Mus musculus: one gene and its partners. The protein of the gene in region 3 interacts with the protein of the main gene of each other region in a pairwise test. Links are inferred from orthologs where the notes say so. Each region holds a gene or a part of one and is shown on either strand. Other genes may lie near its edges.

Evidence for each region.
Region 1: the proteins of Pnma1 (region 3) and Ubqln1 interact in binary tests that used the Homo sapiens proteins (3 or more experiments, as listed by UniProt). The two-hybrid records come from large-scale screens. The link is inferred for Mus musculus from reciprocal best matches to the Homo sapiens genes PNMA1 and UBQLN1.
Region 2: the proteins of Pnma1 (region 3) and Lnx1 interact in binary tests that used the Homo sapiens proteins (3 or more experiments, as listed by UniProt). The two-hybrid records come from large-scale screens. The link is inferred for Mus musculus from reciprocal best matches to the Homo sapiens genes PNMA1 and LNX1.
Region 4: the proteins of Pnma1 (region 3) and Sema4c interact in binary tests that used the Homo sapiens proteins (3 or more experiments, as listed by UniProt). The two-hybrid records come from large-scale screens. The link is inferred for Mus musculus from reciprocal best matches to the Homo sapiens genes PNMA1 and SEMA4C.
Region 5: the proteins of Pnma1 (region 3) and Atp5o interact in binary tests that used the Homo sapiens proteins (3 or more experiments, as listed by UniProt). The two-hybrid records come from large-scale screens. The link is inferred for Mus musculus from reciprocal best matches to the Homo sapiens genes PNMA1 and ATP5PO.
Region 6: the proteins of Pnma1 (region 3) and Tnni1 interact in binary tests that used the Homo sapiens proteins (3 or more experiments, as listed by UniProt). The two-hybrid records come from large-scale screens. The link is inferred for Mus musculus from reciprocal best matches to the Homo sapiens genes PNMA1 and TNNI1.
Region 7: the proteins of Pnma1 (region 3) and Gpank1 interact in binary tests that used the Homo sapiens proteins (3 or more experiments, as listed by UniProt). The two-hybrid records come from large-scale screens. The link is inferred for Mus musculus from reciprocal best matches to the Homo sapiens genes PNMA1 and GPANK1.

What each region holds. Positions count from the first base shown.
Region 1 is NC_000079.6:58,191,654-58,195,153, forward strand, and holds part of Ubqln1 (ubiquilin-1), read right to left. Parts: intron 1,862-3,500; coding exon 1,599-1,861; intron 583-1,598; coding exon 424-582; intron 313-423; coding exon 69-312; intron 1-68. UniProt on the Homo sapiens protein: Plays an important role in the regulation of different protein degradation mechanisms and pathways including ubiquitin-proteasome system (UPS), autophagy and endoplasmic reticulum-associated protein degradation (ERAD) pathway.
Region 2 is NC_000071.6:74,605,404-74,608,903, forward strand, and holds part of Lnx1 (E3 ubiquitin-protein ligase LNX), read right to left. Parts: exon of another isoform or gene 2,503-3,500; coding exon 2,334-2,502; intron 860-2,333; coding exon 634-859; intron 1-633.
Region 3 is NC_000078.6:84,145,690-84,149,867, forward strand, and holds Pnma1 (paraneoplastic antigen Ma1 homolog), read right to left. Parts: upstream 2,801-4,178; 5' UTR 2,239-2,800; coding exon 1,177-2,238; 3' UTR 442-1,176; downstream 1-441.
Region 4 is NC_000067.6:36,555,582-36,559,881, forward strand, and holds the start of Sema4c (semaphorin-4C precursor), read right to left. Parts: upstream 2,801-4,300; 5' UTR 2,435-2,800; exon of another isoform or gene 2,069-2,434; coding exon of another isoform or gene 1,779-2,068; intron 1,505-1,778; exon of another isoform or gene 1,222-1,504; intron 1,205-1,221; exon of another isoform or gene 916-1,204; intron 500-915; exon of another isoform or gene 497-499; coding exon of another isoform or gene 460-496; coding exon 351-459; intron 1-350.
Region 5 is NC_000082.6:91,928,831-91,933,076, forward strand, and holds the start of Atp5o (ATP synthase subunit O, mitochondrial precursor), read right to left. Parts: upstream 2,801-4,246; 5' UTR 2,726-2,800; coding exon 2,690-2,725; intron 1,575-2,689; coding exon 1,524-1,574; intron 180-1,523; coding exon 69-179; intron 1-68. UniProt on the Homo sapiens protein: Subunit OSCP, of the mitochondrial membrane ATP synthase complex (F(1)F(0) ATP synthase or Complex V) that produces ATP from ADP in the presence of a proton gradient across the membrane which is generated by electron transport complexes of the respiratory chain.
Region 6 is NC_000067.6:135,805,921-135,809,420, forward strand, and holds part of Tnni1 (troponin I, slow skeletal muscle), read left to right. Parts: intron 1-1,600; coding exon 1,601-1,690; intron 1,691-2,712; coding exon 2,713-2,889; intron 2,890-3,500. UniProt on the Homo sapiens protein: Troponin I is the inhibitory subunit of troponin, the thin filament regulatory complex which confers calcium-sensitivity to striated muscle actomyosin ATPase activity.
Region 7 is NC_000083.6:35,121,582-35,125,315, reverse strand, and holds Gpank1 (G patch domain and ankyrin repeat-containing protein 1 isoform 1 precursor), read right to left. Parts: upstream 2,365-3,734; 5' UTR 2,331-2,364; coding exon 1,657-2,330; intron 1,097-1,656; coding exon 652-1,096; 3' UTR 501-651; downstream 1-500.

The DNA of each region.
Region 1 (3,500 bases), on a different chromosome or scaffold from region 3:
AAAGGGATGCACACAGATACATAAATAGTTTCAGCACCAGTCTTGTAATCAATGCGAGGCACACATACCTCCTGCGCCAGGCACCAAGCTTGGGCCCGAGGTGCTCTGTCCAGCAGGGGTACTGGTGGCAGTGCCACCAGAGGTGCTCATGGTGTTAGTGGTGCTGCCAGTGGTACCGGAGGCTGGTGAGCTCTGGGAAGTCTGCGGAGCCCACGGGTTGGGGAGCGGATCCCTATTTTCTGTTCGAGAAGGCTGAGTCCCTTCTGCTGAGGACGAACTGCTCACTAAGGACGCAAATGGATTACCACCAAACTGTAATAAAAAGAAAAAAAATCAATTACAGAATGATTTTTTTCAGTACAGCCACATTCTGCACATAGCAGTACCCTTAGTCACAGACTGAGCCTGGGCACGAGTGCTCACCTGTTCTTGAGCAGCATTCAGCATAGGCTCCTGGATATCGGTGTACATGCGCCGTAAGGCATTATAGCCCCCAGGAATACTTTCTAGGTTGCTCAAGGCTCGGTCCTGGTTTCTCATCATTTCCTGCATCATCGCTGGATTTCTCGCAAGTTCCAGTGTCTAAGAAAGAAATCTCCAGTTTAAAAGAAAGCACTGAACTATTCAAGGAACTCCTTCTGCATTCAGCTAATGCCTGTGGGAGGCACGTGTGCTAAGTTCCAGGCAGACACACTGAACTTTAAACAGCTGTTTTTTTTAATCAGGACTCCGACTGCGCAGTGCTGCCTGCCTTGGCCTGATCTCATCTGCTCAGTTCTGGGAAACACTAGTTCTATTTTAAAGGGTGAGGTATCATCCAATTCTAGAGCCAAAAAGGCTAATTAAGAGTTTTAAACCTATTCTGCTATATTTAAATTAGTAAAGTACTTAAGATTCCTGGTGTATTTCATCTCTAAACACAAAATATATTCATAGGCTATCACAAACAGGCCATCTCCAAAAATGGACTTAAACCTACACTGCCCACCCCCCATCCCCACCTCCCCTCACAATTTTTGAGGCAGGATTTCTCTTACATAGTCCTTGCTGTTCTAGAACTCACAATGTAGACCAGGCTGACCTTAATCAAGCCCAAGAGATCTCCTGCCTCTGCCTGCCAGGTACTGGGATCAAAGCTGTGTACCATAAAGCTGTGTGCCACCAACCCAATCTAATGTTTTCACTGAAATTTTTTTTCATACAATATATTTCGATGGGTTTTTCCCGCCTAAAAATGGTTTTCTGTTTTATTTGAAACGTGTAAGGAGCAAGGTGCTGACATCACCTCTCCACCCTGCATTCCAGGACCCCCACCACCTCCACCACCAAAGGAGAAACCGGCACAAAAAGCCTGTCTCTAAGGAGAGTTTGTAAAGAATTTTCATGCATAGCAGAAAACTCAGAGCTCAAACAAACAAAATTAATATTGTTTTGCTGAGTTTCCCTAAATAATGGTTGGGATTCTCTCTAACTTTATAAAAAATACACAAGGCAATCTCTGGCAATAACATTTTATATTTACATACATACACACACACACACACACACACATAAACACCCTTTAGTTTAAGTAAAAAAAGAACTACTTTTCTACATACTTGTCTCATTATATCTGGATTATTAAGCATATGACTAATCTCTGGATTTCTCTGTATCAACTGTTGCATCTGTGGATTGGCCATAATCAATTGCCGCATCAGGTCAGGATTTGAGAGCATGCTCTGGACAAAGGGATTTTCCATGATCTGGACCATCATTTCAGGGTTAGACAAAAGTTGCCGCTGCATTTGGCTCTGGAGTTCAGAGAAGTTGGTGGTGTTTAAACCCAAGCTGCTAAGACCTGCAAGTCCTCCAAGTCCGCCTTAGAAGAGGAAAAAACAAAAAATGAAAATCAGAAGTCAGTGCTAAAATATGAAGTCATTAACTCTATATTTTAAAAACCATTAAAAACAAAACAATTCCTATTATTCATTTATAAAGTTATACTTATTCATTATAAGTTATTCATTATTTATTATACTATTCAGCTTTAATTCCTATGCTACGGCTTAGGTATGAAGTGTACCCAAAAGCCTTCATCAGCTGGTGACACTGATGAAGGTTATCATGGTGCTAATGAGCCAGTAGCTCAATGGGCTATTCGGTGCAGTACATTTGAAGAGACTTCCTGATGCTAAGATAGGGGACTTTTATATGTGTATTAAGAAGACATACTTGTACTCTCATACTGGACAAAGAAATCTGCATGTACACCCTACTAATAGCCTACAGCACACACTACTGATTGTTTGTTCAGAGTTAACCTCAACCACAGAAGACCAGAGCTCTTGTTAATATAACCCTGATACCAGCAGACACTAATTATTCTGTTTCAAGAACTGTTTGAAACCAGGACTAGGAGATGAATGAAAGGAATAACAAGACATAGTCATTTGGCCCACTCTCAATTGCTGACTATCTGACCAGAGGCAAATCTGAGCTCTGAAAGGATCAACCACCTTGTTTCTTTCTTCTTTTTTTTTTTTTATTACGTATTTTCTTCAGTTACATTTCCAATGCTATCCCAAAAGTCCCCCACACCACCCCCCACTCCCCTACCCACCCACTCCCCCTTTTTGGCCCTGGCGTTCCCCTGTACTGGGGCATATAAAGTTTGCCTGACCAATGGGCCTCTCTTTCCAGTGATGGCCGACTAGGCCATCTTTTGATACATATGCAGCTAGAGTCAAGAGCTCCGGGGTACTGGTTAGTTCATAATGTTGTTCCACCGATAGGGTTGCAGATCTCTTTAGCTCCTTGGATACTTTCTCTAGCTCCTCCATTGGGGTCCCTGTGATCCATCCAATAGCTGACTGTGAGCATCCACTTCTGTGTTTGCTAGGCCCCGGCCTAGTCTCAACCACCTTGTTTCTGTTCTCTCCAACCCCATATAATTTGCTGGCTGAAGATTAGATGTAGCCCCAGATTACCAGTTCTGAAATAAAAAACAATTTATAGCTCAAACTCCCTGTTCTCATTTGCCTTTGGGGTGGCAGGCAGAAGTGAGACAGCAGCTATCCATGAGGACCAGCTCTCTGCTGCACCCTCCCTGCCACACCACAGGCCTTTACCCAGTAGTAGTCCACCAGCTGGAAACCATGTGACAAAACAAACTACCTCACTTCAACTGCTTCTTCCCAGTGTTTGTCACAGGGGACAGCCCCCAACCCCAAACACATTCTACAATCAAAATTAGCCAAATTCTCACTTTAATATTTAACAAAACCAACCAGACATATTTTAAAAATCTCTCTAGCATAATAAAACACATTCATTCCTTCTTGACCTTTCACAGGGTTCCTAAAAGCTTAGGCAGTCACTTTGAGTGCCTTTTTGTTATACACAGCAGGCCCCACAGGCCACTACACTGAGGAGGGGTAAGACTGAAAGCACCCTGGGAATGATGCAAGATGGAGCTGATTACCAAACGGCCTAGTGGACTAAAGGTGAGACTTTCAGCC
Region 2 (3,500 bases), on a different chromosome or scaffold from region 3:
TGCTCTAGTCCAAGGAAGCAAACATCAAATTTATCTGTCCATTTTAACTAGTCAGTTCATGTTCAGAGCCATTTTGTGGAGCTCTCCTGCTATACCTCAGAAAAATGGTACCCTAGTTGCTTCCTAAAGGACTTTCCAAGAGGAGTCACTGAAAAGAGATGTTGTGAGAAGCATCCCCAGCTAGCAGACACGTAACTCTCTGAAGCCATGATGTTTTGCTGCGCTGCTGTGCGTATAGTCAGAGCTTCTGGAAGCCTCAGAGTAGGACCACAGCCGGTCTGCAGCTCCCACTCATACCCATGCAAAGGTGAAGCTTGGTGTGAGCAGATGCAACTCAGCTCATGAGTGTGGAAACACAGGCTGAATGTCTGTCAGTCAGCTGAACCCCCTGCTACATGAACCATCTGGTAACTGTAAACACTTCAAGAATATCTAGAAGCTTCTCTTTCTAGACTTCCACCTCTACCCTAAGATTTCTATAGGGATTTTCATTTGCCAACAGAAGACAGTTATTCCCAACAGTCCCACAGAGAAGACTGGGTCCTAGCAAGATGCTAGTGCCCATAAATTGGCCCAAGACAGTGAAAGTGGATTAAGAAATAGAATCCATTGGGGTGTTGAATTGGGACTCACTGTGGTAATTCCAGCCACATGACCCAGGATGGGGACCAGTCACCAGGCGGGGTCACGTTGTGGTTGGAGTCCAGGGCTGCTGGGCTGCAGTCTTCCTGGGCCTCCTGTTCCTTGACTTCCAAGGCTTTGAGTACCACTGAGGAGGGTGCGCTCTTCAGTATGGCAACGGCCTCTGTCCGGCTGACCTCTGTGAGCTCAATCCCATTCACATTCAATAAAATGTCACCTGAGGCCAGAGAAGCAAAAGCAACCTCACTGAGTGCAAATGGGATTCTGCTCCGTGTGACAGGACAGCGGCTGACCGGGCACAGGGGCAGGGTGAGGAGAGGCGCATATCTTCAGCTCATAGAGACACGAGACTGGGTCCCCTTTAGCAGATGGTAGAGCATGTGGGAATGGCTTGTTGGGAGTCTCTAACAATGGCCTAGTGACGTTCATCTGTTGCCTGACTTAAATAGCTTCCTTGACTACTTAACCAAAGACAAGCTGCAATCTCACTCTTTTAGTTTCCTAGTTTCTTGAGCACACAATGAGAGCAGTTGGCATAAGGCTCCAGTGCCCGCAGAGAGCCTGCTATGTACAAACAGGGACCGAAGCAGGAGTTAGTGTCTGGCACAGGAGCCCAGGGCAGATAAAGAATGGCCCTGAACCTGAGCTTTCACAGAGGTGTATAGTTATCATTTCTAGTCAAGACATCTCTGTGTGTCGCATTAGCTAAGCACCTACTCTGTGCAAAACTGCTTCTATATGTGACATGCTACAATGTCACTTCTTGTCAGAGCTTATTCTTCACCCCGGGTGCTTGCTGAGCAGCAGGAGAATTTAAGATGGATCTCCCTGCCCTCGATGGCTTGTCTTTCAACTATCTCTCGGGTTTTTGTTGTTGTTGTTATTTGTTTTTTTGTCTTGCTTCTTATATATCATCTTTTTTCACACAGAATAATTGTAGTCAGGAGGAAAATGACAAGGGGTATCCTCAAATGCTTGCTGACTTAAGACAAAAGAAAAAAGAAAAAAAAAAACCACCTTTGATTGTCTGCCTAAATCCTATATATACTATGCCACACTCAAGTGCATGTATTTGAGAGACTTTTTTCTGTCTTAAATCTGAGCCCTTCAAAAGCACAACTGTTCCTTTACCTAGGTGACCTCTTCATGTGCTTGAACAGCGTTATTGAGAACACGTACTCACAAGGTAAACTGGGTACTTTCCTTTATGTAGAGGAGCCCAGAACATGAGTGGCTAAGAGAGGTCCATTTCTCACCAAGGAACAAAGTCCCACTAATGATATTTAACTATACCATTGAATCAAGATCTCTCAATAGATTCACCCCATTTAGCCCCACCAAATGGTACAATCCACAGAATCCTTAGGGCTGTTAGATTGCGTGGAACTAAATTGTGCCTTAGCGGCACCTTGTTCATGGGTGTAGTGGCTGTCTGCTCAGCCTGGAAAGTCCAGGGACTCTAGCTTCCCTAGCAAAGCTGCCTCATGCCTACTTCCATGCACTAAGAGGGGTGAGCCTAGACTACTGCTACACTCGTGCTCATCCTGCTCAAAGGGACACAGCAGTCATGGCCAGTTCCCTCTGACATGCTCTCCTTGACTCTGGGAGAGCAATTAAGGAACTCAACAGCGAGCTCCTAGCTCCGCCCCAGGCTCTGCCACCCCAGCGCCTTTATTCTCTTGAGTTTGTACCTGTTTTTATTCTCCCGTCTCTGCTTATGACTCCGCCGGGTTCAACACTGATGACATAGATGGGCAAGTCCCATTCCCTGTGGGATGCTCCCCCTCCGACGGTCATGCCGAGAGACTCGCTGGGGTCTTTCCAGACACTTACAACCTTCTCATGACAGGTGGCTGCAGGCTGAAGGCACAGACACAAAGAACATGGCACATACACTCACACGGCCTCTCTGAGAGTGCGCACGTTTTCCCATTCGCATCAAGAGAGTTACAGCACCTCAAATTCCAGCATCACAAATACAGCATCGCAAATTCCAAGGCTTGACTCCGAGAAGTTTACATTGCAGAACGGAATACTAACCGTACAGAGGCAACAGCCTGGGGACCATGGTAGAAATCTGGATCTTATAAATTTGGACTGGATCTCAAATCTCTCAAGGAAGTCAGCCATTTCTGACAACAGTAGGCCAACTTCTCAGAACACTCACTGTACATGAATATCAGTATGTCTTTCATATTTAAAATCATATTGATTAATGGAATGTGTGGAAGTTTGAGGGGCACATGCTAGAACATACATATGGAGGTCAGAGGACAACTTACAGAAGCTGGCTCTCTGACTCCACCCTGTGAGTCCCAGGGATCAAACCCATTCTGGTAGGCTTGACAGCAAGCGCCTTTACCCACTGAGCAATTTTGCCAGCCTGGCAAAAGCTTGTCTAGGTTTAAAATTTTTCTTACATCATGGACCTCGGGTGATGGCTTGTTGGCTGTAGTGCTTCCTGCACAGGTCTGAGGACCACTGTTCAGATCTTGTAGCACTCATAGAAAAGCTAACCATATAAAATGGTGGCTCATGTGTAATCCAGAGTTCAGAGATCCAACGGAGAGAGATGGCTAGTTAAGACTCGGCAATTAGGCAAGCTCAGCTTTGGCGTGAAGCAATCTCAGTAAATAGGATAGAGAGCAACCAAGAAAAATACCTGATGTCATGCTCTGCCTTCTACATGCACACGCTCACACATGCGCATGCATTCACGTGTCTGTAAATACACATATGCACGTGCATGCAAACCATACACAGATGCAAAAATTTGGCCTATCTTATACATCTTCCCTATTTTTGGTGCATTCCAAACAGCTGAACCAAGTAGCTGAGCACCAGGACTGCACTTGTCC
Region 3 (4,178 bases):
TTGCCTTGAGGAAGTCATGTGGAAATTGAACTCACTGAAAGGTAGATGTAGTAGTGTCTGCCTAGAATCTCAGCCCCCAAGAGGTAGGCAGAAGGATCACAGGTTCAAGAGCAGTAGCCCATGCTACACAGTGAGACAGTATCTACAAGAAATAGCTAGGGGTAGTGGCTCAAACCTGTAATCCCAGGACCGCTGCAAGTTTGAGGTCAGCCTGGGCTACAGAGTGAATTTCAGGCCAGCCTCAGCTACAGAGTGGGACTGTGACAAAACAACCAAGGAACCACCCAACCAAGATGTATAGGTGACACTGCAACTTAAATTCATAGCAAGGAGGGTAATTTTTGTTTTGTTTTGTTTTGTTTTACATGAACAAAAGTCCTTGTTAGGAGAAAAATATACGGAGCTAAATTAACTGAAAAATTTTATACGTGTCAGGAAAAATGAGAATTTTCAAATTTTTATTTGTATACATCTATTCAATAACTTCAAACTTAGAACCCTTAGCGCTGACCAATTATTAAATGACTAGTCTTTGAAGTGGGGGAAGTGTAGACTGGCCACGGCCACTCCCCCTAGGACTTCTGTCTTCCACCGTGAGGAACTGATTGTGCAGCTCGGTAAAGGCCTGGTTTTTTCTAACATGCCACTTTTAGTCCGAGGATCCTTTTCAGGGAAACTGATTCCAGCGTTGAGCCGTGAGGAATTAGAAATCCGCATTTTTCAAGATGAGTAATATCTTCTAATAGAATCACATTCTTTCCATCGATACAAATTGGGAACAATTTACAGTAAAACCATCCACAGTGTTAGTAACAAACACAAGAGTTTGTACTGTACAGTCTGTGAACCTGGTGCGCGGTTAGCATCAGAACCTGCAGCTTCGCAACCACCTTGACAGGAAGTGTCACAGCTTCACGTTTGTGCACAGCTGTCAGAGATGTCGCCAGGAGGGCTGGCATCAAGCATTCACTTTAGGCAGTAAGGACCACCTTTACCGTTGCAGCTCCTGACAATCACACACTTCTGTGAATGTTACAGGAATATGCGGGCCTGACTTCCCCATCCCATCCCTCAGGAAACAAAACCAAGCCAGGAGGAGGCTGGGTGCTTGCTTTGAGTGGCAGGCTTACTAAAACGTCACAGGTATATCAAAAGCAGCCTGGCCAGTCCTAGGACTCAGAAGTGCCCCTCCAGGCCTAGCTGCAAGAGGGCGGCCTCGGCCTCCTCCTCCTCCTTCTTGGCTTCCTCCTCTCGAATCTGCACCAGTAACTGGAAGAGGTTGGGTGCAGGCCCTTCCTCAGCCCCGGCCAGCCACAACTGCCTTCGGAGGGCCCCACTGTGGTTAGCCCCAGCGATGACCTGCTCCAAGCGAGCCTGGTTCACGTTATCTTTATCAATGACCCCCTTGTCTACTACCTTTTGCAGCAGAGGCTCCAGACGGATAACATACGAAGATAACTTTTCTCCTGGGTTCTGGTAAGTGTTCAGAAATCTGACCTGTGCATCTCTAGAGCTCTCCACACTCCCAAAGACCTGCTCAAGAGCCTTCAGGCATTCTGCGGTCGTTATGGCGGCGTTGTTGGTCTTGAGGATGCGGATGACGTCAGCAGCGGGGCCTCTCAAACTCTCCATCAACCGCCGTCTCTTTTCTATATCCGACACCTGCCATTCCTCTATGATTTCATTTGAGTGCTCCAGCCAGGAATCAAAGGTTTCCTCGCCAGGCCCGGGAATGTCCTTCCCGGAGAATAACGTCAGCTTCTTATACCATATGGACTCAACAAGAGGTTGAATAACATTATCCAAAATATAGTTGAGCATCTCTGCTGGCATTTCCGGGCCTGGAGCTGGAGCAGGGTTCTGAAACCCAAGCACACGAGCAACATCTTGCACGGTCCACCCTTCCCTAGCTAGAAAGAGGTGCAGCCTTTCCAAAAAAACTGCGTCGGAAGTGGGGGGTTTAAACACCACTTTCCAGAGCCCTCCTTTGCCTGGCATCTCCCTGGGTATCAGGGAGTAATCCACTGCCCCAGTGAGCTCTAACAAGGCTGCTTTAGCATTTTCTTCCCTCCAGAACATTCTCCCCAGCACTCGATAGGATACCTGGGGCATCGCAGCTTGGAGGGTCTCTTCAATTTCGGTCTCATCACAGTTCACAGGGATCCCCCAGACCAACAGAGCTCTCTGAGAGTTCACATCCATTCCCCTGCACCAGTCTTCCAATAGTGTCATAGCCATTTCACCCAACTATTAAAAGTGCCAGTTCTACAGACACTGCTTGGACTGGCTCACGAGGCTATAGGGCCTAGGACAATACAACATGCTCTCCTCCCCCGGTAGGCCAGGGGGCGACAAGCTTCAGGCAACCACAATTACCAAAAGACACCAGAGTTCCTTCTTGTCCCTTCCGGGTCCCAAGTCAGGGTCGGGAGCCACGGGACACTCCGCCTATCACTCGAATGTCGCCCCCTTTGGTCCGGGCAGGGAGGGCTGAACTGGCTGCAGCTGTGTCTGGCGTCACCGCTTAAAGAGAGGGAGCAAGGTGGGCTCAAGACTGATGACTCCGGGCGGGAGATGGCTGGGTGCGGTCGCGGGGCGTGGCAGCTCCTCCCACCTCTCCCCGGCACGCCGGCGGGCTGAGGGTCACGCGAGGCCGTGGCTTGGCTACGTGGGGAGAGGCGGCACTCCGAGCACCGGGAACCCAAGCGGCAGGAAGCACGGGATGGGGGAGAAACTCGGCTGGAGGCAGCTCTGCCTAGCGCTTATGTCCGCGCGCTCCCGCAACGGCCGGCGTGCAGCTGCAGTGGAGGGCGGAACCGGTCCGCTTGTCTCCCCCAGTGTCACCGTGACAACTGTGTCCATGACGACGCGAGATACGCGGGCTCCAGAGGATCTGGCGGTTGCTATGGTGCCAAGAAGGGGTTTGAGGAGTCTATTCTATGACGGCGCATTTCTTTTTACACCCCCCCCCCCGCCTTCCCTGATTCTTTCTTAGCTATTGCTACGCATGCTTTATTTAATTTTGCCGTGGATTTAAGCTGGCTTTATTGATACGCATCTACCACGACGGACTTATCTCATATTGCTCATCCATTCTATGAATTCAGTCTTTAACTCTGACTTCCGGGAACCACCTGATCCCACTCTGCAACTACTTGGTTCCTCCCCACAAAACTAGGAAAGAGAATTCCATCTACTGGTTCCTGTGAGTGTCTGACTTGGCTTTCTTGTTTAAAGTGTGTGTGTGTGTGTGTGTGTGTGTGTGTGTGTGTGTGTACACAAAACCCCGTGACTACTTACCTTTGTAGCCAGGCAAACTGCAAACATATTGCCTTCTTATCCTTACTGAGTATACAAGATAGCAAAACAGAATGTTTATGGCCCCGAAAAGGCGGGTAAGTTCTCTTCAAGCAAAACAAGGCCTATCAGTCCCAGACGGCAAAAACACCCCTATAAGAATGTGGTATTCAACAATGAATTTTTTTTAAAACCTTATTTAATAAAAGGTCTTAAGATACAGAACATTCAAAAGTAAATAAGTTACATAGGTACATTACAATCACAGCAAGATTCTCTTTAGTGTATTAATTTTTTTTTTATAAAAAGCACACAAAAAATAAAATTTTCAGTCTGGTCTATCACAACTGTACACAAAGAGGTAATATTTATATTTATATATATATATATATGTACACTATTTTAATATGTAACAGTCTTTTTTAAAAAGAGTGCCACAGGCAACAAACACATGAAAGGCAGTGTCTGACCATTTTGTTTCAAAATAAAAGGAATATACTTACTTTATGCTATTAAAATATTTGTACACTAATTACAGACTGTCAAGGCTGTTCTGTGCTCCATCCTCTCCAGCAAGGCCTTTAACGTAAGAGACAAATGAGGAAAAGTTCTAACAGCTGCAATTTTTTTTTTTTTGAGGCAACAAACACAGCCAAATGTGGGTTAGACACAACTGTTTTTATATAAAAATATGCATACTTCCTGTAAAAACCTAAGGGGTTAGGCTTTGCCAGTCTAGTAATAAATAATAACCCAGAACAGTGAGCCCCAATAAAAACATTTCAACAGCTGAGGCTTGAGTACTATTGCACTCTTCCTCCTCTGTCTTTAACATCTGGCACATGAGAAGAAAGAGGTTGGGTGACTGAGGCAGTTAAATA
Region 4 (4,300 bases), on a different chromosome or scaffold from region 3:
CAAGTGAGGAACAGGGAGGTTGATTCAGAAACTACCTCCCTTGCACACCAGGCCAGCCAGGTCTGGGTGAGGGTGGGGGTGCGCTGGTAAGAGATCCCATAAAGTTATCCCAGTGTCAGAAGGGGGCAAAGCCCAGGTCTAGACCAGCACTACCAGTTCTGGGCCCCTGGGGCCACTCGCGTTTCTTAGAAAGCCACAGCCACACATATCGGTGTAAAGGTGCATGCTTGGGGGTAATTCCTCAGCAGCAGCTCCTTCCTGCAAGCAAGCATCACTCCCCTCCTCGCCCTTCCCCCAGCAGTCTATCCCAGCCTCCCTCTGGCCCTGCCTCCCATGCTTCAGGCACTCACCCCCAGAAGATACTGTCTTCCGGGGCACAAGGTTCCACCACATCTCAGCCCCGATGCCCAGGCCCCACAGCCCTGCTGCCAGCAGCCAGACAGCCCAGTGTGGGGCCATGGCAGACACCCAGGGTCTAAACTTCAGTCCAGCAGCCCTGCTGAAGGAAAAGAAACTGGTCAGCATCACAGACCGGAAGGGGGCCCGCACCAAGAGACAAGCAACACAGGACGCACACTGGAACAAACCTCCCCCAGAGCCTTTACATCTCCTCCTGATCCTGCAACTGGCCTCTGCCCACAAGAGCCCTGGGGGTCTCCCAGAAGAGCAAGGAGAGGAACTTAGTCAGCAAGCACTAGGCGTGGGCAGTCATCAAAAGCCGCCTGTGGCCTCCAGGCCATCCCTACTCCCTCCCTTCAACAGGGAGTTGTGTGGAAAAAAATAAAAGAGGGACTCCCCCTCATTGGCTCCTTCTGGCCTTAAAGGTTTCAGAGTTTCTTACAATAACCATAAAAAACAGGGCTTGCTACCAGTGGGACCCAGGCCAGCCCCAAGACCTAATTCGGGGAGATATACCCCTTATTCAGCAGCCGCAGGCAGCCGGTTGGGCAAAGAGCTTCAGTGGGGGACTTGGTGAAGCAGGCAGCGTGTAGAGTTCCCGGCCCCAGCCCGTCCCCTCCCCCAGCGCAGACAATAGCCGGGCAGAGCCCAAACCCGGTTCCACATCAGCAGGGCTGGAGTAGGAGTGGGGCCGGGAACCAAATGGGCCCAGCTTCCGAGGCCCCTTTGTTGCCCAAGAGGGAGGCAGGAAGTGGGTGGGATGGGCGTGGAAATGACCAGGACCAGTCCTGTTTCTCCAACAGCCTTCTACAAGACACTGACCCTCCCGCAGAGAGGCGACCGGGCCACGAGTCAGTTCCAGGCTTCTGTCTGGGAATCTCCTCGCCTCCGCGAGAGCGGGATCGTGGAGGGAAGTGAAATGGGTTGGGGAGGCCGAAGCGGGGTTCTCCTGGACAACAGGGGATGCCCACAAATGATCGTCAAGGGCTGCGTCCCCTCCTCCCCGGCTCTGACGAACGTTCTTAACTCCGGGATTGCACCTCGGGGACCATGCACTAGGCAGTAGGCAAACGGAACGGATCTCCACTAATCTAGACGCTAGGGGCTGGGAACAGAGATGCAGAATCTGAGGATTGCACCCCAAAACAAAGGTTCCTAGCCAAGACCCGGTCTCGGTCTCCCTACTGTGGACTCTCCCCTCCCCCAGCTCCGGGGATTTGAATGCAAACAAAGCGGCAGCGCTGGGAGCGTGGCAAAGCCGGGCTTGCGGACGCCCCCTGTCGGCCAAGAACCTCCGCGCGGGAAGGGCGGGGGGCTGGGGCTGCCTTCCCCGGAGCAGTCCCCCCTGACACACCCTCAGTTTCCTCTCTGCCAATTACCCTAGGCTGGGGTCAAAACCCGGTGGTGCGCTCCGAGAATCTGCAGGCGTAGCGGTGACCCAACCCCCAAGCTCTTCCCGAAGCAAGGGACACGGACAGCCAAGGGGATGGAGGGGTGCAGGACCAGGATTTGCACCCCACACTTGCACACCCGGTCGTGGATTGCGGCGCTCCAGAGAGGGACCGGGCGGCGGAGCTTTGGCTAGGGGGCTGGTTCTCAGTGCCAGCCCGCCTCCGGAGCAGAACGGGAGGGCGGGGGGCCGCGCTAGGGAAATCCGATCCCACAACATCGGCCACGGTCCAAGCCCGCCCCTAACTTTCCGTCGAGGTGGGGGGAACCCGAGCAGTTCGCGAGCCTGGCAAAGATTCGGACCGCGCGCTGGACAGCCCAAGGGTCCCCCACTGCCCCTAGCGCTGTCCGTACCCCCAGGCTCCCGCTGCTCCGGCCAGTGGAGCTGCAGGCACTGCTTGCCTTGATGCCGATCGCCACTGGGCAGCCCGCGGCGGACTCAAGAGGGACCCGGATCGGACAGCTGTCTTTGCTGTCGCCCCGCCCTGCACCCCTAGACGCTGTCCTCTAGCGCGCGCGCTAGCCCCTACCCAAGCAAGGGGACAAAGCAGCGGCCCCGGGGCCCCACCGCTCCGGCCTCACTCACCTCTTTCGTGCAGCTCCAATCCCTGGGCGCTGCCCTCGCGTTTGACTCCGGCCACCGTCCTCCCCTGCCCCCGCGCCGCTCCAGACTGCGCCCGCCCGCCAGCACGCTAAGGCTGTCCCGTGCCACCGCCCCTCGGTCTCAGCACGGCTCTCGGCGCCCCTGAGCTCGGATTCGGCGCTCCACCGCGCCGGGCGCCGGTTCTTTCTCCGCTGCAGCCGCCGCCACCGCCGCTCTCCGCCCCCAACCCCTTGACGTCAGGCAGAGGGTGTCGAGTGGTGGCCGGGGGCGGGACGCGAAGGCCCGCCCAGGAGGGGGCTGCGACCCGCTGCCTTGCTTACCCGGCACTGAGGCTTGGGGACCCTTTACGACTCTTGCAGCTCGTGAGTCAAGGTCTGCGCCACAGCGGCCGGAGGCGGGGAGGGGGCGGGGTGGGGGGCGGGGAGGGACTCCAGGCGTTGCCACCGGGAACTGCACGAACTGCACTCACCTGGTGAAGTGTGCCTTCAAGTCCTGAGGCGGGATGGGCTCTCTGGAAGGGTTGAGGGGCTTCCCCACGCTCCAGTTACGGGAACGAAAACTGGCAAACCATTTTGGGACTTGTACCCGAAGGGGGTGGCGTAGCAAGAGAAGAAACTGAAGGTTCTCTCAGGTGCTAACCACAGTGGTCAGTCTTTTGACTCCAAAGTTGTCCTCCTTTCTGGCCCTAACCCTTGGACTGGAAGGAGCAGCTCACAGGCAGAGGAGACCCCAAGACTGCAGGCAGCTCCTAGTTTCCAGGCTCCAGCAGAGCCTACCCCCGGGAAATGACTCTTGGTGTGGCTTGGAAGGCTGATTAACTAGAGGCACGAGCGCGCCACGGTTCAGATGAAAGAGGCTGGAGGGAGCCACGCAGCGAACCACCACCACCTTCAGAACTGCCAGCCTCCGCCCACAGGCGCTCCTAGAAGTAACTTGTAGCTGTGGCCTCCTGGACGGTGCTGGCTGGCAAATCCTTCCAGCCAGCTGGTCCTCCAGTGGGCAGGTGGACTGAGAAACCTCGGGGAAACTGCCCCAGCGGTACCTGGAGACCACCCCTAACCAGAATCAAAGGACAGGGACGAAGGGAAGGAGGCCTGGAGGTTTCTGTGGTAACTTTGAGCCCCAGGGGGCAGTCCCGGAGGGGAAAAAACACTTCAGACCCCATAAGTAAAATCTGGAGTATAAATCAGTCCGACAGCAGCTTTTGTTCTGGGCTAAAACGTGGCACCTGAGAAGTGAAGAGCAGAAGAGCAATGGGAGTAATCGAGAATGGCAGCCCAGTTTGGTTTCAGTAACAATTGGGTCTTTACTGGGACACAGAAGGGCCCCTTCTCCCTCGCTGGCCAGAGCCACGTTTCCCAGCTCCTTTCCATTAGGAAACAAAGCTGTGACCTCAGAGATAGGAGGCAGGCCAGCTATTGCCAGGGGTGGGCAGGGAGGGTGTCCTATGGAAGCTGGCCAGGGAGGGAGCCATGCACACTCCTCTTGACCAGGCTCCTGTTCATCTACTAAGGGCAAGCCCCACTCCAAGCTCAGGATTCGCTAAAAGCTAAGACTCCTCAGCTCCAGGAGGCTGAAACAGGACTTCCAAGCCAGCTACTGTTTCTCTCACTGAATAAGAGATTAAGCAAGATACAAACAAACAAACAAAAAAAGGGCTCAAATCCACACAAAGAGCAAGGTGACATTTTTAGTGAGATCCTGGCGCTGGACGCAGTCTATATGGTCCATCCCACCTGCTTGGGAAGGGAGAGGTAGGAAAACTGTGAGCCCAGAAGCTCCATCCTTTCAGCAGTCAGCAACCATGAGGCTAACCTCCACTTCCTGCTGTGTTTCCTTCTCACCTGT
Region 5 (4,246 bases), on a different chromosome or scaffold from region 3:
GGTTCTTTTTATAGGCTGTACCCCGTTAGGACCGGACACAGGAACAAGCCCAACAGAGAGCTGCTCACCCCTACGCGCAGCAGCTCCTTCTCCACCTGGTCCAGCTTCTTCTCCTTAGATGCAGCAGAGTACAGGGCGGTTGCATAGCGGCCTTCGATGCCGTAGACCTGAACAGGGGGCTGGAAACAAGAGTAAGAGGGGGGGAGTGAGGCAGCTAAGTCAGGAACAGAATTACCCCCAACTCCAAGACTGCATTCCCACTGCCAAGCCAAGGTGCAGTCCTAAATGAGAACTCACAAACTAGGGCCGTCTCCCTGGCCAGGACCCTCTACCTTTAGAGGGGCAGAGAGGGCAGTGTCCAGCGTCTCTCCCAGCTCTCCCTACCTGCAAATGTTACAGCAAGCTTTGGCTTTCTTTGATCTCAGTGACAATGCCATCCCTAAGCACAGGAGTTTAGTACGACGGCAGGCAGTTGTGAAGATTAGCAATGCAGGGGCAGCAGTAAGAAGTGCACATGTGGATGTGTCCCTATCACGGTCATGGTGTTTTATGAAGTTCTCAGGAGGAATAAAATGGCTCCACTCACAGAGGCTGAAGGAATCTGGTGCTGTTATTAAGCGTAGCGTGTGTTGCTGTAAGTTCCACCCAACGTCCCTAGAGCATTGTATTCTGCTATTCCTAAGGGGACCATGAGTGCAGATCACTGGCCTGGTTGCCCGAGAGCATACAGCAGCCCAGGATATCTTCAGATTCTGCCATGCATGAATTAGTAACAATGAACTATAGAATAAATGCACGTGCAGCCATACTTCAATCTGTCTTGGGCCAGAGGTCAGTCAGACTTCTGGTTTAAAAAGAATAGGCCAATAGACCTCTGCAATCAATGGTGAGACTCTTGGTGCCTGGGAATGGTACCTGTCAGTACTGATTCTGCTTGGGGAAACAAGGTGCAGGCTGCAAGCAGGCCTCACATCTGAGCAACTCGGAGTTGCCACAGAGTATCAACTGTGTGAGAATCTGGGCACTTCACTTTCTTTTGTTAGAAACAGTTCCTTCATAAAAAAAAGAATGAAAGGCTAGCTTGTCTATGGACGATTGCTAGGAAAAACAATTTAAGAGTCTTTTATACATACAGTGTGTGTGTGTGTGTGTGTGTGTGTGTGTGTGTGTGTGCGCGCGCACGCACTACACGCAGAGAACAGAACAGAAAACTTTCAGGTCTTTCTTTCCTTTCCCCCTCCGGGTTCCAGGGATTGAACTCACACCCTCAGGCCTGCCATCCAGCCCTTACCTGCTGAGCTCTTGCTGGGCCCAAACAAGTTATTTTTAGAACATTAAAGTCTAGGGTTGAGCCCACCCTGTGTGACAGGCGCCCAACAGCATCCCCTGCACCCAGGCACTCATCTGGGAACTGCCACCCTTGCAGACCAAGGTTATTAATTACACACTTCAACGTATTTCTGTTCAACTCACTCTTTCATTGTTTTCCAAACACACACACACAAATAAGTAAGCTGACATACCCTTACAAGCTTGGCAAAGGGCCTGACCACAGATGTACTGAAGCTCCGAACCTTTAGAACAAAAGAAAACAGATCAGACAGGGTTTCTGCATTAGCTTAGCAATGTGTTAAAATAATCTAATCAAATACTTGCGCAATTCCTTTCTATCATCACACAGGTTATATGAGTGGGAGCTGCTCTTTGTTATACACTCCCTATTGAGAATCACCCCAAATCCCTCCAGAAACTGCCTTCCCAACACCTTCCTCCCTGGATAGCTGAGAGAGAAAAGCTGCTAACTTCCCAAAGTGGAATTTTTCAAAATAATTAAGAGCTTTATCACATTTGGGAAGAATGCTTTATGAAAGCGGAGGATTTATATTACATCACCTTTGAGAAAAACTTTAATGAACATGAAATGAGTCCAGTCTTAATTCAAGGAAACCTACTTGCTTAGGAACTGAAATGCTATCTAAGACCAAAGATCTCTTGATACAGCACCAGGCTTCAGGCACTGTGTCTGTCACTGGAGCAGCCTGGAATCCAGTTTAAAAAGCGTTTTGCGAGGGCACAGGTCACAGTCATATACTACTCTCTCTAGACTAGAATGTACTCGATTGGAACTGGCTATGAGGGTTAAAAAACTTTCTAACGCCTTAGTAATAATTCTGTATGGTGCAGATGAAAACCATGACGGCTGTCGATACAAAATTATCATGGCAGATGACCCAGGCACGTATTTTTTTCCACCCAATTCCAGGTTCTGCTGGACTTGGCCTGTTGCAAGCTCGCCATCACTCACCAGCTGCCAGCCAAAGGGGAGACGTTTAGCCCTTCCCCCCTTCTTTATAAACACAGGGGATGCGCTTTTCCAACACTCAAAATCCTAAGCAGCAGGCAGCCCTTAGGTTTACCAGCAAGGACAGGCATGTACTCTCCCCAGTGCTCTCTCCCATGCCCTTGCCAGCTGCTCCGCTATGCAGTGAGTCCTGGATGTCAAGGTCAAGACAGAGAAATCCGTGCCCACTCCCCACGGGGACGAAACGCGGATCCGCCCCACGCTGCCTGCAGTCGCCGGGCCCCACGACCCTGGGCGGGCTGCCTGACCCCTCAGCCACGGCCTCACACGCGGCGATGGGAGCCGGGGACCCGCAACCCTGGGAGGGAGCCTCCCGCCAGCTTCTACCTGTCGAGACAGTCCGGACGCTGCAGGCGCGGCCATCTTTTCCCGGGCGGCTGTAGGTCAAACCCAAATGAAAAGAGACTACTGGCGCCAGAGCGCACGCGCGCGCGCCAGCGTGATCGCTCGGCTTTCTGGGAAATGTACGCGTCAGGAGCCCGGGAGTGTGGGTAAGAACCTCTTGCATGCTGGGAGTTGTAGTCCGTACCTGCCGCGGTCCGGCTGGACTCGTGAACCGGAACCAGAAAATTAAGTCTGAAATTAGGTTTAGATTTAAACTCTTTGCACATGCATCGTCAACATCGTTGACTCGTCTTGAACCTGCCAAGTGTGCTTCTGTGGCAATGCTTCAGGCTTTACTTAAAACAAAAACCAAAAGTGAACCTACCCGGGCGCACTTCTTGGCTCTTCTGGCCATATTTTGATTACATAGGACAGTTGACAGGTGTGTTTGTGCTTTTTCTTTTTTTCTTTTTTTAGATTTCTTTATTTACTTCATGTATATGAGTATACTGTAGCTGTACAGATGGTTGTGAGCCTTCATGTGGTTGTTGGGGATTTAATTTTTGTTTTTGGATCTCTGCTCGCTCCAGCCCAAAGATTTATTATTATATTATACATAAGTACACCGTAGCTGTCTTCAGATACACCAGAAGAGGGCGTCAGATCTCATTATCGGTGGTTGTGAGCCACCATGTGGTTGCTGGGATTTGAACTCAGGACCTTCGGAAGAGCAGTTAGTGCTCTTAACTGCTGAGTCATCTTGCCAGCCCGTGTTTGTGCTTTTTATACCCACAGACTCAAAATCTATATATAATTTATCTATATATAATTTACTTTTTAATATGAGGGAAGATGGATACAGAATTATATGGGTTGCAAATACATTCTTTTAGAAATTGTTTTATGTGTTTGAGTGTTTTCCTGCATATATTCACGTGTACCATGTGTGCCTGTTGCCTTAGAGTCCAGAAAAGGACATCTAGTCTCTTGGAGCTGGAGTTAGAGGCAGTTGTGAGGTGCCAGGGGGTACTGAAACTGAGCACAGGTCCTCTGCAGGAGCAGCCAGTGCCCAACCGCTGAGCTGTCTCTCCAACCTCAGAAATACATTTTGTATAAGCAAATTTCTAAATTATGGCACTTTAATAAACATGTCCATAGCTGCAGAATAACCTACTTTGATTCTATAACTTAACCATTCTATGACTTTTCAACATAACTCACGTGGTTTATATTACTTTAATATATTACTTTAATACACATCTGAGTATCTTTAGATATACTTTTTCATAATTTCAAAAGTAGAATTTAAAAGTTGATCGAGCAGCTTGACAAGTGAGCATGAGCACATGGGCACATGAGGCAGAGCTGCTTCTCTTCGGCTTACACTCTCACTAGCTGTGTGTGGATACTTCACTCCACTGCTGCAAAATGCTTTTACGTAAGCCTAATGAAAAGCGTATTCAGCACTGATCACATCTTATGGAACTGCTCATGTGTAGACAGCTGTTTTATATCCCAAGTCTCAACAAGGTATCAAAAAAAAAATCAACCTGTTTGCCT
Region 6 (3,500 bases), on a different chromosome or scaffold from region 3:
TTTTTTTCAGGATGAATTTTTTTTGGAATTTAAAAAAAATGATTTATTTATTTATTGTGCATTGGTGTTTTGCCTGCATGTGTTTCTGTGTGAAGATGTCAGATCTTGGAGTTACAGATAGTTGTGAGCTGCCATGTGGGTACTGGGATTTGAACCCTGGTCCTCTGGAAGAGCTACCAGTACCCTCAACCGCTGAGCCATCTCTCCAGTCCCAAGTCTTTGCTTTTTTTGAACTGTTAGTAATTGCTTTAACGCCAGTGGCTGCAGAGAAAAGACCAGATGAAAATATGTCCATGTGTCTCCCACAGCAGTGGCTATTTTAATTTTACTATTTTTGGTTAATATTGAGTTTTCAAAATTTCCACTATTAACTTATATCACTTTTATACCACAAAACTATCTATCTATCTATCTATCTATCTATCTATCTATCTATCTATCTATCTATCTATCTATAGACAATAACTATGAGCTTGCTGCTGAGGCATGAGCCTGCAATCCCAATACTCAGGGGACAGAGGTTGGAGGGCTGTGAATTAAAAGCACTTATTAATTAAAACAGTTTCATACAATATACTTTGATCATATTTTTCCTCTTCCAACTCTTCTCAGATTCTTCTCAACTCCCTCCCCACCTAACTTTGTGTTCTTTCTCTCTTAAAAAAGAAACAAACAAACAAACAAAAACACCAAAAGCCCAAAACCAAAACCAACCAGTCAAACAAGAAAAACAACAAAAAACAAAAAACCGTGAAAATTAAAACAGTAGCAAGCAAGTCAGAAAATCAGGTTGGGTGTGGTAGTGCTCACCATTAATCCCAGTATCCTGGAAGCAGAAGTGGGTGGAACTCTGTGAGTTTGACACCAGCCTGGTCTACAGAGTGAGCCAGGACAGTACTACATAGTGAGACCCTGGAGAGATCAAGGCACGTGGGGTGGGGGAGAACAATAATACAAAAAAACAAAAAACAAAAAAAACCAAAAACCAAAAAACAAAAAAACAAAAAAAAAGTCAAACAAAACAGAGGAAACATGGAGACATGGAGTTTATTTTTTGTTGGCTGTCTGCTTGTGGGCATGGAACTCAATAAACATAGCGACACCATTGGAGAAAGCTGTTTGCCCCTTTCCCAGCGAATATCAGTTGTAAATAACTGTTTGGTTAGGGGTGGGGCTTTGTGTCCACTTCCCTTCTCTGTGCTGGGATTTTGCCTGGTTTGAATCAGTGTGGGTCTTGTATGTCCTATGTCTATGAATTCATATATGTAAAGATTATGACACACTCAATGGCAAGGCTTTCAGGCCAGCCTGGGCTACATAGTGATACTACCTTAAAAAAAAAAAGTTAGCATTTACAAAAAGCTAGAAAAAGAAACCAAGCATAGACCAGAAAGGCGAGCAAAGGCTTATGCTTTGAGTTGTTCCCTTGATGGTGACAGCTTTGAGCCCCATGCAGAGGCCGCTCCTGTTGGGATTACAGTGCAGGCAAAGCGAAGGACCATAGGGCTAAGCGTGCTCAGTGTGCACACAGGAAAAGGAGGCTGGCCCCGGTGGCCCTTCCCCCTCTTCTCCGCTCTCATGCTGTGGATCTACTCCTCAGGACTTGTGCCGAGAGCTCCATGCCAAGGTAGAGGTGGTGGATGAGGAGCGCTATGATATTGAAGCCAAATGCCTCCACAACACCAGAGAGGTAGGCCCTGGAGGTGGGGGATGGGACCGCCTGGGCGGGCACTTGTGAGGCTCTCCTGGGTCTACGGAGCCTGGGAGGCAGGCTCTCAGCATCCACCCCAACACCACAGGTCTGGAGATGGGCAGGAAGGATAGCCACACATGAAAAGAACAAACTTCCTCCCCACCTGCCACGTGAGCTCTTCAGAAGCTGCCGGCTTCCCTCACCCACACAAGCAATCAGATGTCTGTTAATGACATCTTACGTTTGTGAAGGGCTTTCAAGTGCAGTTGAATCCTTTGATCCTCCCTACACGCCTGCGGGTGACACGGGGGCTATTACCTGACCCTGACAAATGAGGACATGCAGACTCACAAAGGCTAAGCACTTGCTTGGGCTTGGGTCACAAAATGGGGGTCCCAGTATGCACACTGTGCTCTGTGCTCCAGTTCCCACTCCACGGGACTCAGCCCTTCATTGTGGAGTGTGTGGGCATTAGGACCAACCATGGGCTGCTTCTGAGCATTGGCCCAAGGTGAGCAGGCACTTCCGTACCCTACCCTGCTTTCGAGGGTGCTGTGTGATGCCATTAAGCTCCAGAGAACTCCCTTGCAGACCACACCCTGGGATTATCAGGGTGTAGGATTTAGGGCTCCTCTACCTGCTGTGTCAGTCAAGGCTCAGCTGCTGTGCAGGCCCTGGGCAGGGTTGAGTACTAAGAGCAAAGATGGAGGGAAGGAGAAAGCAGTTTACACCCCACACAAGGCTTCCAAATGGGAGTAAAGGTTTATTGGCTTATCATTTATTTGTGACTTGGTTATGGGGAAGAGGCAAGGTTAACTAGTGGGCGTAATCTGTAAAAGTTCATTTAGAACATTTAGCGTGTGTAGTGATTGCTTGGAAAAGGGTAGGAGATTCTGAGCACCCCAGATGGTCTAGCCTGGAGCCCGGAGGACTTGTAGGATGGTTCTAGCTGGAAGCCCAGTGGTTGGATCCTCAGGGTGAGAACTCTAGGTCAGAGCCTGGCTCCTTTGCTCCCCCAGATCAAGGACCTGAAGCTGAAGGTGCTGGACCTCCGTGGGAAGTTCAAGCGTCCTCCCCTGCGCCGGGTCCGTGTCTCAGCCGATGCCATGCTCCGAGCCCTACTGGGCTCTAAGCACAAGGTGTCCATGGATCTGCGGGCCAACCTCAAGTCTGTGAAGAAAGAAGACACAGAAAAGGTGAGGGCCCCTCTCCTCAGACCCGCCTACTGGCCTCTATCTGCCACTTCTTACATTGCCTGAGGCGCTCTAGTCAGTGTGTGAATCAGGATATTCTAGGATCCCCTAGGAGGCCAGTGTCAGAAGAGAGACTACTGGCTGCTTCCAGTCTGAGGGGACAATGGGATGAGAGAAAGGCTGACTGGGAAATTAAAACTTGCTTCCCATATCAGTTAAGGGGTAACCATTACCCCTGTCACTTCAGCTTCTCGTTGTGGCTATAGGAACATGAGTGCATAGAAATTGGAGAACCGAGTTCAATTAACTTGCCTAGCAAACAACTACTTCAAATTTGTTGGTCTCACAGAACATGTTTAGAGCTGACAGGCTGTGAGGAGCATGGTGAGAGAGCAATTTATCTGGCCCAGAGAGCTTAATAAAGACAAACAGGCCAAGCCAGTATGCTGACAAAATTGAAAACAAGTTAAATGAATCAGGAGAGGCTTCTTGGAGGAGGTGACCTTGAACCAACTGCAGGGTGTCCCACAGGAGGGTGTTGTGGATCCTGGAGGAGAGGTTGGCCTGTCATATACTGGGAACCAGTTTTGTGACCCTGTGACAGTTACCTAGAC
Region 7 (3,734 bases), on a different chromosome or scaffold from region 3:
GACTCTACTTCCTCTCTGGGGACTTTTAACTTCCCTACCACAAGGTATTACACTTCATCACAGCTGGCTTCCTCAAGTTCAAGGTTTGTATCAGGCAGAGCAGAGCAAAGTATCTTTGGCTTTTCTCCCAATGTCAGCAGCATCTTTTGGATGCATCTTGTCTTGGAGAGGGGCCCCACCCAGGGTCTTCCCAGTGTTAGGCAGGTGCTCTAACCAAGCTATGCCCGCCCCTCTCCAACACATAGCACACTTGGTTTGTGATACTTGTCACTGACTTGACTGGCCTAGACACATACTCAGAGGGGTGTTTTACAAAGTGGGGCAATTCCTAATGTGTGTGTGGGGGCGGGGATTCAAGGAGCAGGTAGAATGCAGCCAGCAGGACTGGGGACTCTCTTTTGTCACCCGGAGAGCTTGTCCTTTTGGCTCAGGTGAGACTTCTATGTGACTCTCAGATTTGTTCCAATTCCCTACTATATCATTCAAGAAAGTAAACAAACCACAAGGAAGGAAGTTTATTTATCTCCCAACTCTCCGCCCTTCTCTCTAAAATCAGAGCCCAACAGCTAAGGCCTAAGGGTTCGGAAGTCCAAGTGTCCAAGTCAGAGGCCCAAGTCCAGCGAGTGACAGACCAGGGCCAGTCCATATCAGTCAGAACTCGAGGTTCATGTACAGTCTTAGATCTCGCTCCCAGGCTCTGCCCTTTTCTTCTTGCCTTCTGTTCTCCCTCTGACTCAGTGTGGCAACTCGAGGGACTCTCTCTCTCCCAGACACAGCCCGGGTATCCCGCGCTGCAAAGTGTGTGACTCGGGGTTGGGGTGGGGATCTATAACCCAATCCTTCCTGGTCCCTCTTGAGGATAGTGGGGATAGGGTTGGCACGGCCTTCACCCCGGGGTCCTAGCCCCATTCCTGGTTCCCAGCCACCTCTCAGCAGTAGCCTGAAGCCAGGACTGGAAGTGGGCACCCCAAGGGGAAGGTTGGAGGGCTGGGGTCTCCTGGACAGTGACAGCAGGTGAGCAGTAGATGTGTGGTGGTTGGAGTCTTCAAAGTGGGCACCACAGTCCTCACAGAACTGGGACGAGGAGGGGGTAGATCTGCAGAGAAAGAAATATGTTATAGGGGAGGAAAAAAAAAGATGAACAGAGCCTCAAGTTGTTCAGGCACCAGGCAGAGCAGAGCAAAGTACTTTTTGCCTTTCTCCCAATGTCAGCAGCATCTTTTGGTTGTATCTTGTCTTGGAAAGGGGCCCCAGGGTCTTCCCAGTAGGGAATATTTGGAATACTGTCAGGTAGGCCTCAAGCTCTCAGGAATAATGAGTAGTGCTGGCATTTATAAAGTGCAAACTGTGTGACAAGCACCATCCCATCCTACCCCATCTCTTTCCACATTAACCTACTGTATCTTAACACCCCTTTGAGGAAAAAGTCTTAGCCCCAATTCTCAGACAAGGACTGAGATTTGCAGACTTTAGGCTGGCACTGCAAATAAATGGAACCAAGATTCAAATGCACAAAGACCACGCCCATTGTTACTCTATGACTGAATATGCCAGAGGATGAATAGCCCCCTTTAGCTGCTGTGGGCCCTTAGTATGAGGTGCCCAGGAAAGGAAGAACACAATAAAGATGGGTGTAAGTGAAGGCTCCCTCCTCACCGGTTCTGGTTCTCAGGGCTCCTTGTCTCTCCATGACTCTCTCTGACCATACGGGCTACCTCAGGGAAGCCTGCTTCTTCAGCCAGCTGGGCAGCATCTCTGCCTCCCAGGTCACAGACTCCAACCCAGGCAGCTCCTCGGCCCAGGAGATAGCGCACAGCGGCGCCCTGGCCTGCTCGGGCAGCACACATCAAGGGAGTCCACCAGAAGGCATCACGAGCATTGATATTCCCTCCAGCTCCCCCTGCCTCTTGGGGTTCTAGCAGCCTCCGGAGTTCTGTCAGATCCCCATTCTGGGCTGCCAGCAGGATCCACTGGGCCATCCTGTCTTCATCCTCAAGTGCTCTTCCTTGTCTGGGGACTCCTGCTGCTGCAGGCTCCCTAGTCACTCTTCTTCTCTTCTTCTTCCTCTCCCTCATAGGTTCAGCTCTCTGGGGCTTAGAGGAACTACTGTCATCTGCGATTAGAGCCTCATAGAAAGCCCGGGCAGCAGCCCCGTCCAGGACAGGCTCTGCTTTCTCCTGCTGTGGTTGCTGCTGCCCATCCTTCCAGAGGTCACTGGAGTCAGCCGCTGGGGTAAATTCGATGAAGGATGGCCTAGACATGCCTGTGAGAGAAACAAGAAAATGAAGACTGGGCAAGGCAAGGATGTGACAAGCAAGCGATCCAACCATTCAGGTAGCTATTGTGAAGATGACCAGCACCACCTCTGGGGGCCCGCTGAGATGGGAAAGCAGCCTAGAACTAAAATGGGCCTCCCATCCCAAAACTGACTTCATAGTTAGGATTCTGTGGAGCCCGGGCCTCATGGGTAAAAGGGACCCCAGGAATAACAACAGATCCTGTCACGATGGGATGGGTAAAACAGACCCCAGGAACAACAGATCCTGTCATGATGTTAATAAAATTTCATGAGGGCATAGTAGATATGAATCTGTGTAGAATGCTTGTTTCAAATTTGAGAATTCTAGATTCTATCAATAACACAGAAAAGAAAAAGGGTAACAGGAAAAAAATATTCTACAAGACAGTTGTTAATGGGTTCTGTATTCAACTCCCATCTTCCTACAAACAAAAATGCCAGGCTCTCTCTGAAAACATTCCGCTAACACATACAGGAAATATAAGGTCGACACCCCCCCCCCTTTTTTTTTCGAGACAGGGTTTCTCTGTATAGCCCTGGCTGTCCTGGAACTCACTCTGTAGACCAGACTGGCCTCGATCTCAGAAATCTGCCAGCTTCTGCCTCCCAAGTGCTGGGATTAAAGGCGTGCGCCACCACTGGCCCGCACAGGTCGACCTTTTAAATCTTGCTCGATCTTATCTAGGGGTCCCCTTTTCCCAGATTAAAAACAGGCATGACATTACTCCGGGAGGTTTCTGGGGAAGCTGCATTGTCACTTCTGTACCGCAAAATGTCGCTCTTGTAATCTGTAAGATTGGATACAATCAAATAGCCACAGGGCAGAACGAGGCATGCGCAGGAGCAACAACAACAAAACATCCATAAGGTTCAAGTTTCCCGCGCTAGAACCTTTTCTAGCATCCTCGTAGTAAAGCATCGCGTGCCCAGTAGCGCGAGGACCCAAGGGGGAGCCTGTCGGTTGGGGTCCTGCTTTTACATAACGCCCCCACAATGCCCTTCGCCACCCTCCGCGTTCAGAAAGACTCTGAGGACACAGTGGGGAGACCTGTGGGATGCCGAGGAGCTGTGAGATGAAGTAACATCACGGTTACCCCTCACCACTGCTCTGAGCAGGGTTTGAAGAACAGTCAGGGTCATCAGCACAACTCTCTACCCCAGCTCTGAGGAGATGGAGAAGTACAAAGGGACAAGCGGCGGCAGAATGGCTGGCCCCACCTCAGGTTAGCTCGCAGGGCGGTCCAGGTTCTCACGCAGCGTGCACAGCTCAGCGCATCCCAAGCACACCCGACCTAAGTCCCTCACCACAACTCTGCGCATGCCGGAGCCCGAGCGCACTCTGTCGCGGGCCTGGCGAGAGAACCAGGATCCCGTGGGTTGGCCTGGCACAGGGAAGAGGGAGAAAAAAAAGCAAAGCGGAACGCTGAGGGAGCAC